Linked DNA regions of Drosophila melanogaster. The protein of the gene in region 3 interacts with the protein of the main gene of each other region in a pairwise test. Each region holds a gene or a part of one and is shown on either strand. Other genes may lie near its edges. The genes, in order: stas, CG13675 and Cln7.

What was found.
Region 1: the proteins of Cln7 (region 3) and stas interact in a two-hybrid assay, tested with the Drosophila melanogaster proteins (one large-scale study listed by BioGRID).
Region 2: the proteins of Cln7 (region 3) and CG13675 interact in a two-hybrid assay, tested with the Drosophila melanogaster proteins (one large-scale study listed by BioGRID).

The regions. Positions count from the first base shown.
Region 1 is NC_004354.4:17,626,123-17,629,877, reverse strand, and holds the start of stas (stasimon), read left to right. Parts: upstream 1-1,982; 5' UTR 1,983-2,427; coding exon 2,428-2,449; intron 2,450-2,637; coding exon 2,638-2,938; intron 2,939-3,755. Other genes in the region: CG8326 (uncharacterized protein), read left to right, coding at 455-537, 607-1,522. UniProt on the Drosophila melanogaster protein: Required in cholinergic neurons, but not in motor neurons, for normal neurotransmitter release by motor neurons. Involved in muscle growth.
Region 2 is NT_037436.4:8,162,486-8,166,240, forward strand, and holds the start of CG13675 (uncharacterized protein), read right to left. Parts: upstream 1,968-3,755; 5' UTR 1,876-1,967; coding exon 1,735-1,875; intron 1-1,734.
Region 3 is NT_037436.4:7,343,192-7,346,946, forward strand, and holds the start of Cln7 (Cln7), read right to left. Parts: upstream 1,993-3,755; 5' UTR 1,939-1,992; intron 1,194-1,938; exon of another isoform or gene 901-1,193; intron 755-900; 5' UTR 669-754; coding exon 477-668; intron 420-476; coding exon 1-419. Other genes in the region: CG14834 (uncharacterized protein), read right to left, coding at 2,631-3,755.

The DNA.
Region 1 (3,755 bases), on a different chromosome or scaffold from region 3:
TCATACGTATTCAGTTCGAAAGTGCCGTTTCAGACTTATTCTTCATTTTGTCGTTGCTTATAAACTAATAAAACAATAAATTAAGACAAATTCGTGACTTTAAATATTTAATTTTACTGCAAACAGTAAATTTTACCACTTGCAATAAAATACTTTTCTCATTACAGCATATAAATCTTTATTAAAAATGTATATTATAAAATAGGGGAATATGAAGACTACTTAATACAATACATAGTGTAAAATACATTTATATATTTAATCTAATATATATTTAACTTTAATATTTCATTTGTAATTCTGGGCGCCAATGGTTTGAGTCCAAGCTTTAATCGATTTGGTATATTTATGGTTTGTTTTGGTATTTGTCAGCATGCATCGCGCTTAGTATTTTAACCCATGCTGTCGATACCACGAGTTTGTTTTACAAAAATTGAACCAAAACCCAAAATAAATGGCTCGGAAACGAAAGATTCCCGTGCGCAAGCACCACGGCGTCCGTGATCCCCTCAAGCAGCTGGAACAGAAGGAGAAGAAGTTTGTTCATAGTGGCAAGTCAGTCGAAAAAGGCAGCTAAACTAATATCTGCACCATTTCACATTTCAGACTTTCCAAAGTAACGAACAATCCGCCTGTGAAAAAGGATGAGCAGCAGGTGTCCTTTAAGTTCCGTCAGTTTCAGCAGCTTGCCAACGCCACCAAATCGGGCAAGAAGCTAAGATTGGGCGAAATTGGACGGGAGGATAAGCCCAAATCCTCTCCAGGATCCAAGCCTGGCAGTAGTTCCTCCTCAAAGGAAACGCGTAACATCAAGCAGTTCGCCAACGAAACGGACGAGGATTATCTGCGCCGAGTGAATCGCATGACCAATGCATCCGTACGGGAAGCCCACTACGAGGCCAAGTATGGTGTGAACGTGATCAGAAACCCCAAAACCGGGGAGATTACTGTCCAAAAGAGGCCGAAAAACGAGATCGACGAGCTGCTCAAGCAGAAGCAAAAGGAGCAACGGCTGGCGGGCAAAAGGGGTCGCAAAAAGGTTCAAGTCGTACACAAGCCCATGGATGCGAAGACCAGTCGCGAATTGGTGAAGAGGGCCTACAAGGAGGCCCAGCAAGAGGTTGATACCGAGGAGAAGCAGAATGCCGGGCCAACAGAATTCAAACAGGATGCTGTGGCATTTGGTGAGATCGTCCATGCCCCACCTTCCCTCAAAATCCTGCCGCGCAAAGCGGAAAAAAGTGAAACCGTGCCGCGTCCAGGACGCAAAGCCAATCTCCTTCTAAAGTCCATGCTGAATCCCGACCAGGGTCAGTCAAATCGTGGGCCGGAGGACGACGACAGCAGTCGACTAAAGCTGGCTGCCCAATCTAAGAGCGCCTTCAAAGCACCCACCAAGGCCCAGATGAAGGGCAAGCGGAAAGATCTGCCCTTGGCTACGAGGTCAATGCTTGAAACCGAGCGCAGCAAAATGGTTCAGCTATACCGTCAGCTCAAAAACAAGACAACAGCAGATTCCTAACAGATTCTAGACTAGATACCAACGTACTTTTTTTTTTACATGAAAACAAGTTAACCTAATCCCTTAAGTTTCGTGAATGCGTTTGCTACCCACTGAAGGTCGTAGTTTCATTATAGAATGTTAAATATATTGATGAGATTTTTATTAAATCTATTTTCATACAAAATAAAAAGTGCACTGTTTAATTCCACTATTTCTATCAGTATTTCATGGAGGTGGTAATTAATATGGAGTCTTTTGGCAAAAAGAAAAAGGGCACTATTATGTTGATATTTATAGATACAAAAAAAGTACTTCACTTGCTTATGCAGACACTCACATTTTTTTATTTACGTATAACATTAAAAAATATAAATAAAATTTAGAGAAACTAAAAAGTGGCGCTAAATATGACAGTATGACCAGATTTTATTAGAAACCCACGTTCAGTTTTGTGCGGTAGCTGTGTACACGCTTGGACTTAATCAACACTGCGCCTTCGGCCACACTGGTCGTGACGGAAATTTCTGAAATTAATTTATTTTAAATTGACTTTTAAGCGTGATCGTTCGCCGAAAAAGTCGGCTAAAGTGAAAAGCAATAGAAAAAATTTAAAAAAATTGCTATTAGCGCAGTAGTCAACTACAATTACTCTAGTTAACGCAGTTTTAGCCAACTTCCTATTTTTTTTATATTGATTAAATTCATTGTTGTAGACACACGCACATACACATACGCATAGGCACGCGGATAGAGAGAAGAACAACAAATTGTGACTGGCGCGCAAATAGGCACACAAATAGCATTAACAATTGATAAATAGCCTAGACGCTAAATGAGTCAATCGTGAATTAAAATCGGATATAGAAGGCTTATTAAATTTTCCTTCTTCAACTCGGGCTTACGTACATCGTGTCAAAGCCACAATGTCTTACTGCAGTGGTGTGGGTGAGTGTGCTGTTTTAGTTGTTTTTACTTATCAGCTGAGCGAAGGAACGGTGATTAACCCGCAGCTAGTGCGCAGCCCGTGAAGCCAAAAACGACTATTAACCCTTAGTCCGTGCATTCTGTTCACCACCACCACTTCTGCTTTGGAATGCATATTACATCTGCATGTCTCTGTTTTTTTTTTCTAGCCATTTCCGCTGACGAGGGGATTACAATGCGCAATGGCAGGGCAAAGGCGCTCCAGGAACACTCCCCGGATCAGGTGGCTACTCCACTGTTGCCACAGGTGCCGCCACAGGAGCAACAAGATCTTAATCCACAGCAACAACAGCAGCAGCAGCAACAACAACAGGCCACTCCGCAAAAGCAGGCCATGTCCGCAGACGAGAAGAAGGCCACCAAGAAGTCCCTGGTCATCGTAGCGGGCATTTTTGTGGCCAGCTTGGTCACCATGTGCTATGTGTACGCCATATTCCCCGAGCTCAACGCGTAAGTGGGTCTTTCTGGTGCTAAAGCGCCACAAATGTGTGTCCCCTGCGCATTCGTGCACCTGTAAGGTGTTAAGTGGCCTCCATGTGTGTGTGTGTGTATGCTTAGCTTGTCTCGCTTGATTTGCGAGCAGAGATGTCGACCAATGATCCGCTTAAAATAGCTAGGCTACATCCAACTATGATTAGATATGCTAGGTAGTCATTTACCTAATGCTAGTTATCTCCATTTCGCTTCTAAAACAATATTTTATGTTTAAATATCATAGATATTACATTTGTAGGATGTAAAACTCTTATTGCAAATACTTATTATTGGCTAGATCAGACATAACTATTTGTATGTAGTGAGAAAAGGGCCATTTAATTGTCCAAATATTTACTATAACAGCCATGTTAAATAAGTAACTTAACTCAAATGTCACGCTTTGCATAAGAAAAACTTTCTGCACACGATTATTATTATCTTTAAACTTTACCTAAAGCGGATTGTTATTTGATAGTCTGGTTCTGTGAGTGAGTAAACTTATTTTGTTTAAAGTTCAAGACGTTTGTGTACATATACTTCTATCAATTTGAATTCATCAGAATTTGATTTGCATGGAATCAGCAAGTCAGAGAACAATCTTTGTTTTTTTTTTGTCAAATTTGATCAGCAAACGTAACGTGTTGAAAACTATAAGTGCAGATCCCTCTAATCTTTTTCAAAGTCCCTTGGCAGACCCATTATTCTTATTGATAATGCTGTGAAATTTTACTTATCTATTTTGTTGTTCTTTTTTGTGTTCGTGCCTTTTCACTGCATTGGCATACAGTGA
Region 2 (3,755 bases), 820 kb from region 3:
GGGTGGGAAAATGGCCGAGCACAAGGAGGTTTCTTCATGGGAAAAGTTTGGGACTTTATGGCCAATTCGCAAACATCTTAATCAAGGATCTTATGCAGCTTTAAGGCGAAATAGTTATTGCTTTATGTGCAAAATTTTTAACTTAAAAGTAATTGTTGTTATATTTTCAGTCACCTGGTTAAAAAATACCAAATGAAGTCGTTACCATTTTTGCTATCTTCTTTAGAAAAATTTACATCAACAAAAACCTTATTAAACAAGCAAACACTTATTTTCCAGAGTGCAATTGCAACCAGGATGCACCTTCCACTCCAGTCCCATTTCGATTGCATTGCAAATTCGAGCTGCCTCGTTTTTCGTCTTAACTTTTCTCAATCACTTGCAATTTTCACGCTAATAACTTTCCAGGGGCTTTTAGCATTTCCAGCGGCAACAAAAGACTTAAACAACAAACTATATGGACCGCCCATTGCCTTACTAACCCAAAAAGCGGACAAGATGCCACTCTCGACAAAAGCCCCGCACACCATCAATTATTTCCCTCCACTCTCAACCTTTGGCCAGAGACCAGACCATTTTCCTTTAAATACCAAGCCGCTAAGCCAGCCGAGATGGGCCACGGCAGTTACAGCCGGAAAATGGTTAATTTTCCCTGCATTTTCCTTTTATTTCTGTTTGACGAGCGCGCGGCTGAGGGGCCACCAAGGCTAATTGATAATGTAACACAGCGGAGAATGCCTCAAATGGTGAAAAGCGAATGTTGTTTCCCCTTTTTACTTGTATAAGCTAACTACGCCTAACTATGATGGACTTCAAAATTTGTCATTTCAACTAATTAAAGGAATAAATCTAATTGCTAAAAACTATTTAAATTGTTTGATAGTAGATCTAACAAGAAGATAAGCTGAAGGTGTTATATACTTTAGTTCCTCCTTAGTCCCATAGTTAGTGTAGTTAAATTAGGGAAGCAAAAACTCATGACGACACCTTTTTAGAAAGAGGCGTCCCCTGTTTTCAGGCAGCTTTGGGTTCACTTTTTCTCTGTGTGTTTCTGGCTAAGACGTGAGAAGTTGTCTAACACTTTGGCAGACAGGTTGTCTGCATCGTGTGTTAGCCACTCTTCCCCCTTGGCAGCCCCGAATCTTCTGCAACTTCTTCTGGCTGTTTGGCCTCGTCTTGCAAAATGGCATGCTGCATGAAAAGAAGATGGCCAGAAGGGTGAAAGGGGCCGCAAGCGTTTTTTTTTGGGCTTAAGAGGCAACAATTGTAATTGTTGCTGGTGTTGCTAGTGTTGCTGTTGTTGCTGTTCCTGCTGCTGTTGCCGTGGCTGCAACTTTGCGTGGGAGTTTGCTGTTGCTGGCGTGCCGTTGTTGTTGCTGGTTAAGATCCCTATCAAACAAGAGACAAATGGTGTGCGCAATCTTTTTACTCGGAATGAATGTAGGAAATTATCTCAGATGACACTTTTTTGTGTGCTGCAGTTGCTCATGTTGATACAGCAACGATGCGGACAAATGGGAACAGACGCGGCCAATGAAGTTGTCAATTCAATGTTGGCAAAATTATTCAATAAGCCATTTCCCAAGCTCATAAAAGGCCCATGGAAAAATAGCTATTTTCCATGATTGCGGACCATAAAAACGATTGAAAAGGCATAGTGGGCTTAGTGGCGTTTTGCTCTTTCGGATTGCGGATTTCAGATTTTGGGATCGGGAAGAAGACGACTCCACTTACCCCATTGACACAGTTCCCGGCCAGCATCGAAAACAGTCCGAACACGACTATCATAATGCAGGCGCTCCACTGAAGATGCTGCTGCCGTCTGTGTTGCTGCTGCTGCGGTGATTTGTTCGCTGCTGTTGTTGTGGCTGCCATGATGTCTGCTGCTTTTTGTATATGTTTTTTTTTTGTTGTAATGTTTTTTTTTTTTTTGGTTATCCGTAATCCGTAATTTAAATGTGATTTTTTTCCTATCTAAAAGATACAAAACGAAAATTGAAAGAAAACGAGTCGAGTGGGTTGTTGATATTAATTTTCAGCGCGCAGCATAATTTTTGTCGGAATTTTAGAAAGGAAACATCTTCTCTTTCTTGGTTTATGCGGCATATAATTAGATTTTATATCTAAATGTTTACTATAGTCAGCCGAGGGGAGGCAACCGCAATGGCTAATGGACAATCGAGTATTGCTGGCGGCGATGTTGCAGCTGCTGCCGGTTGCATTCACTTTTTGTGCCCGCGGATTGTGTGCTTCTAATGGATCTTAATTGATAATAACTCGGATCGTTTAAGTCTGGGCTAACGATATTGCATTGGATTCTTGTTGAACACATTGTTCGTCGTAATTTGGTTATTTCAGTACACGTTTTATATAGATTAACATAAAGTGGCTATCTTTTCAATCTCTTTACCTTTTGGCATTGTTAAAAATGTAATAGAAACTTAGTTTTGATGTGAAATATATTTATTTTTTTATGTTAAGTTATAATTAACAAGTATCTAATATTTACTGAACATTTTGGTCTTCAACATAGATCTTTTGTTAAAAGAGTACTAAATCCACTAGATATTCAAAGTGCAATCGTTATATAAACTTCCTATGAAGGTTCCTAAACCTATAAATGTCATTTCTTAAATAATCTTTTTATGTTTTTTATGTTCAGGTGCACTTCCTTTTTTGAATTATTAAACCATATTTAATTAAAGTTCCTTATCCTTTCAACTACTATAGCTGATAGTGTTAATCCGTTCTTAAGGATGTTTTGTCGTTTGCTTAATGTTCACTGAGCATCTGGGAACTAATTTTCGTAATTGATTGCTCAACTCTCAGCACCGTTTGAATGCCACGCACTTTGCCGCGCTAATAAAACACACGCCGCAATTTATTACAGATCCGATGGAGCCGTATATCGTTTCGGATCGTATCTTCAAGAATCGGGGACTCACTTCGTTTCGAACGGAGGAGCAAGCTCTGGGGCTCTGCACGTGTTGCCGCGTTTGAAGTTGATGCAAAAGTTGTAAAAAAATTCGCATCAATTTTAGTTTTATACTCAAGAGCAGAGCGCTGGCTCGTTGGACTCTCTGCAGATGAGCGAGGCTGCCATCGGCTAAATCCACTTCGTCATCGGTGGAGTTACCAAAGAGCAACATCATCGCCACAGAGACGAGGCTGGAAAAACTAAATCATCGTGTCTATTGATGCCTCGCTCGGCTGGTCGGCTCTTCAAATCGCAGTTATTCTCTCATTCATGAGTGCGGGGGATTTTTTTATTGGACAACATACACAAAAAAAAGCGCGGTCGGCTTTTGTTTTGCTTTCGCGGTTTGTTGATGTTTGCCTGGCTCTGTCGCAAAGCTGCGAAAAATTGGTGCAAATTTCGGCTTATTTGTGATACCACTTGGCTAACTTCATAGCGACTCCATTTAATTGTAGCGCTTAGTGCGAAATTTTCGTTCATTAGCGCCTGATAAACGAAAGACTTAGGCAACGAACTCGATTGGCATTAATGGGAAAAATTAATAATATGCATAATTGATCGATTGAAATAGGAAACAAAATATTTTTACCAAAATATGCAATAATAAACTGTTTTTATATGGAATTAAAAATCAAAATTTTAATTTTTTAATATTTATATTACATATTGCAACTATCTACAACTTTTTAATTATAATTGTATAGAAACAAAAATGCAAGCACATCATTTTTAACATAGTTCCTTTGAAAGGGTAAATGTTTTATGATATAGTTTTCAT
Region 3 (3,755 bases):
ATCTTGCCCCACAGCCAGACGTGTCCCTGATCTCCCAGCGGTGTGACTGCCGCCTGCAGAGTTGGACCAATGATGAATCCAAGGACCTGTGCCAGCGAAACCATTGCAACGGCATGTGTGCGTTCGCTGATTCGTGTCGCAGCGGACAAATAGGAGCGGCACAGGGCAATATTCGCCGAGCTGACACCGATGAGGAACCGCGAGGAGAGCATCCAGTACTTCACATTGTCCGGACGCAGTTCCAGCGAGGAGTATATGCCACTGGCCAGCGTGAATAGAGACAGCGATAGCAGCAGTGGCAGACGAATCTTGCCCAGCTTGTTGCCCCACCACCCAAAGATCGGACTGAAGATCATTTGTCCCAGCGGATTGGCGGCCACAATCAGTCCCATAAACTCCTTGCCCGCATCGGGATCTAGCTGAAGAGAGATGAGATTGAAAAGCAGCTGGATAGCGTGACCAAAATGGGTACGCACCTTGTTGAGGTAGGGCCAAATGCCTGTGAGTATGATGCTGAAGCCAAGCGCCATCAGAAACATCGTAAAGTAGATGATGCGGACGGAGCGCCAGCGCTGCTTGTACTCCTCCAGCGTCTCCAGGCCATCGTCCACATCCTCCGGCAGTCTTTTGGTTTCAAAGCGAGCGGAAACTCGGCGGGCAAACTCCATAATTGGTTTGCTTGGCTGTGATGTTTGATGGGTTGGTTGGCTGCGATGGATGTGTGTTTGCTGGATTTCACCGCCACTGAGTCATTCTGTAAATGGATTCGAATGAGTTTTTTTTTTCTTTATGGAGCTTTTTGTGAATCGATGTGTCAGTTGTTAGACACGCTTTTAAAGTCTTGTAACTATTAATGATTCAGAGTAGAGTATGTCTCTAATCGGCGGTGCCTTCAATTACTTGAATATGGATGGAGTGGATTATCTGCCAGACGTCGCGTGATTATCCTCCTCCGAAAAAACCACAGATATGGAAAACAGTTTGCTGAACTTATCACACAAATTGCGGAAGATAAAGGCAATCGGTGCCGAAATAAAGCTGTTTGTAGTTATTCGTTGCCATGTGCGGGTGTCTGTATGTCGTTTTTCTTTAGTAAGAGCCACTATCACTGTGAGTATGCCATTGTTTTTGTTTATATGGCATGATAAGGTTCGTACAGAACGTCAGTTTATTACATGATTTCATTTATCAGAGCAAAAGAAATTGATTCGCCCCAGTACAGGGTACGAAATAAAAACATTTTGTTATAACTTTAGTTTTCGATAGTGCAACAAGTGCAGCGATTAGCCATATCAATCAGACTTGTCCACTTCCTACATCAATCAAATCATCACTGGTTGAAGATCACTCCGTCGCAAATCAATTTCTAATTGATTATACCAATTGCCAATTGATGCAGTTGGTTTTTTTTTTTTCTTTTTTTTTTTAGTTGAGCGCCAGATTCTCGTTCTCGAAGTACCCAAACACACACACACACATCTTTCAGATACAAGATACTAGATATGAGATAGCGACCGTTGATCTTTGGCTGCCTATTGTTTTTTTCGTTAAGCTACTTTGCCTTTGCACTCCTTGCTTTGATTTTCAAATTACTTAGCTTACTAAGTTGTATTTTGTTTTTCGTCACACACTGAAGCAAAACTATGTAAATTAAATGGAAACATGCACTCTTTGTTTTTTTTTAAATTACTCTTTCTTTGTCTCACTCTCGCTCTCCCGCTTCCTCTCACTCGATTTTTGTAATATTTAACCAAACGCAAAGAAAGCGCTTTTCTCCCTCTGCCAATGGCTATATCTGTATCTGTATCTGTATCTGCGTGCATGTATCTTTCTGTGCATCTAGAACTCAAGGGCACCCCCCTACCGCGCGCATCCTATTTGTGGGGCTTCCAGCGGGTAATGCACCTTTTACCAATCGGGCTATGTCTTTTTAACTACCTGTTGCAGCGGAACAGCGACGACCACTGGAGATGAACGAACGCGACGGACTGAACTGAACTGACGCGGCAGCGCCTGTTGCCAACAAATCGGACGACGCGTCGCCACAGAGCGTGATGGAGCTGCCCGAAGAGAGAGAGGAGCCAACGGCAGATAGCACCCGCGCCCGAAAGTATGCTACTTAGATACTCCGAAATCTATGGCATCTGTAAGATAGATCGCAAGGGTTTTCTATTCAGGCAAAATATTCCTAAGCATAGTATAGTAACTTGTTATCAATCCACAATCCATGTAACACCAATACTCCTTCTTCAAATTATCATTATTATACTAGATCATCAGTAGAATAGATGTATCTTTGAGATTCGATTCGAGATCCAATTGAAATAATAGGGAAACTGAAGAATGGAGTTCTATAGAAACCTGTCTAACCTACCAAACTTCTACCTGCGTGTGTGAATACTATAATGACTCATTGGAAAACGATCTTTAAGAACGCCTTCATATTGTTACAGGTACATAAAGATCTTACTACTTCAGATACTTTAATTTCGAACGCTTCTATCTTCGCTGCTACTGCAGAACACTATAATGTGCAAATTTATATTTATTTTTGAGAGACCAAAATGCCTTATAAATATACAACAAATGATTATAATAATAAAAGTGAAAGTAAATTGGGTATGTTGGGTCTACAGATTTCCCTGTGCCTGCTGCAAACGCATCAGTCGCCGCTGCCTCAGCCAGGGCAGCAGGAGTCCACCTGGACGCTGGCCGGGAAGTGGAGCTCGTGGGGCAAGGTCCATTGGGGCAGCCAGGGTGACGGCTTCGGGGATGATCTCATTGCGCCGGAAACCACGGAAGGTGGCGCTAGGCCTGCGTGGCACACGATCCTCAGGCTGGCGATCCTTTTTCTGCGGCACATCCTCGTTTCTAATATTCAGGCTAAAGACATCCCCAGTGCGTGGATCGGAGGACAGATGACTGACCGTATCTTGAAGCACCTTGGGTATCCGCTCCACCACCTGCAAGGCATCGCGGAGTGGCCGAATCTCTCGCTCCGGTTGCTTGCGCGACTGCTCCTTGGACGCCTTGCTCTTGGCGCTCTTTCGGAACAAAGGACTCTTCTTGTTCTTCCGCGAGAGTGCATCCTTCTTAAGTGGAGCGGGGCGAGTCAGTCGCGAAGCTGACTGCTCCAGGAACCATGGTTCCCGACGAGCCGGCTCCTCCAGCTCAGCCTGACGCTTGAATGCCGATGGCTTGGCTGATGCACGCTGCTGCTTCTGGGCTCTAGTGCCCAGTGGCGAGGGACGCACCAAGGAACTGGCAAAGTCATTGAACCACTCCAGGTGATCGACGGACCTCTTGTGCCTTATCTGCTCCGAAGCCTTGGATGGCGTTTCTAAGCCATTGGCCGTACGTTGAATGACCAACTTTGTGGAGGGCTTGTAGATGGTTATGTTTGAGCGACGATTTCGAGGCGACTGCATTGAAGTGCTGGCGCTCCTGGCCACCAGATCTCGCTTCTGCTCGAACTGCTGTGCGTTGCGCACAAAGCGATTGCTGCTCGGTCCCTGGATGACGATTTCGAATGGTAGATTCAACGTCTTGGCATTCATCTGCATGGTGCGAATGCACTCAGTATCGGATTGGTCGTCATTACACTCGCACAGGCACTCCTCGCCGCAGTAGAAGCCCAAACAGCCGCAATGCTCACACAGCGCCTTGCAATTCTTCTCGAGCTTCGACTCCGTCAGGGGATTCACATTGCGACTAGCTTTCGTGGATGTGGCCAATGTCGATGGCGGTTTGGTTGT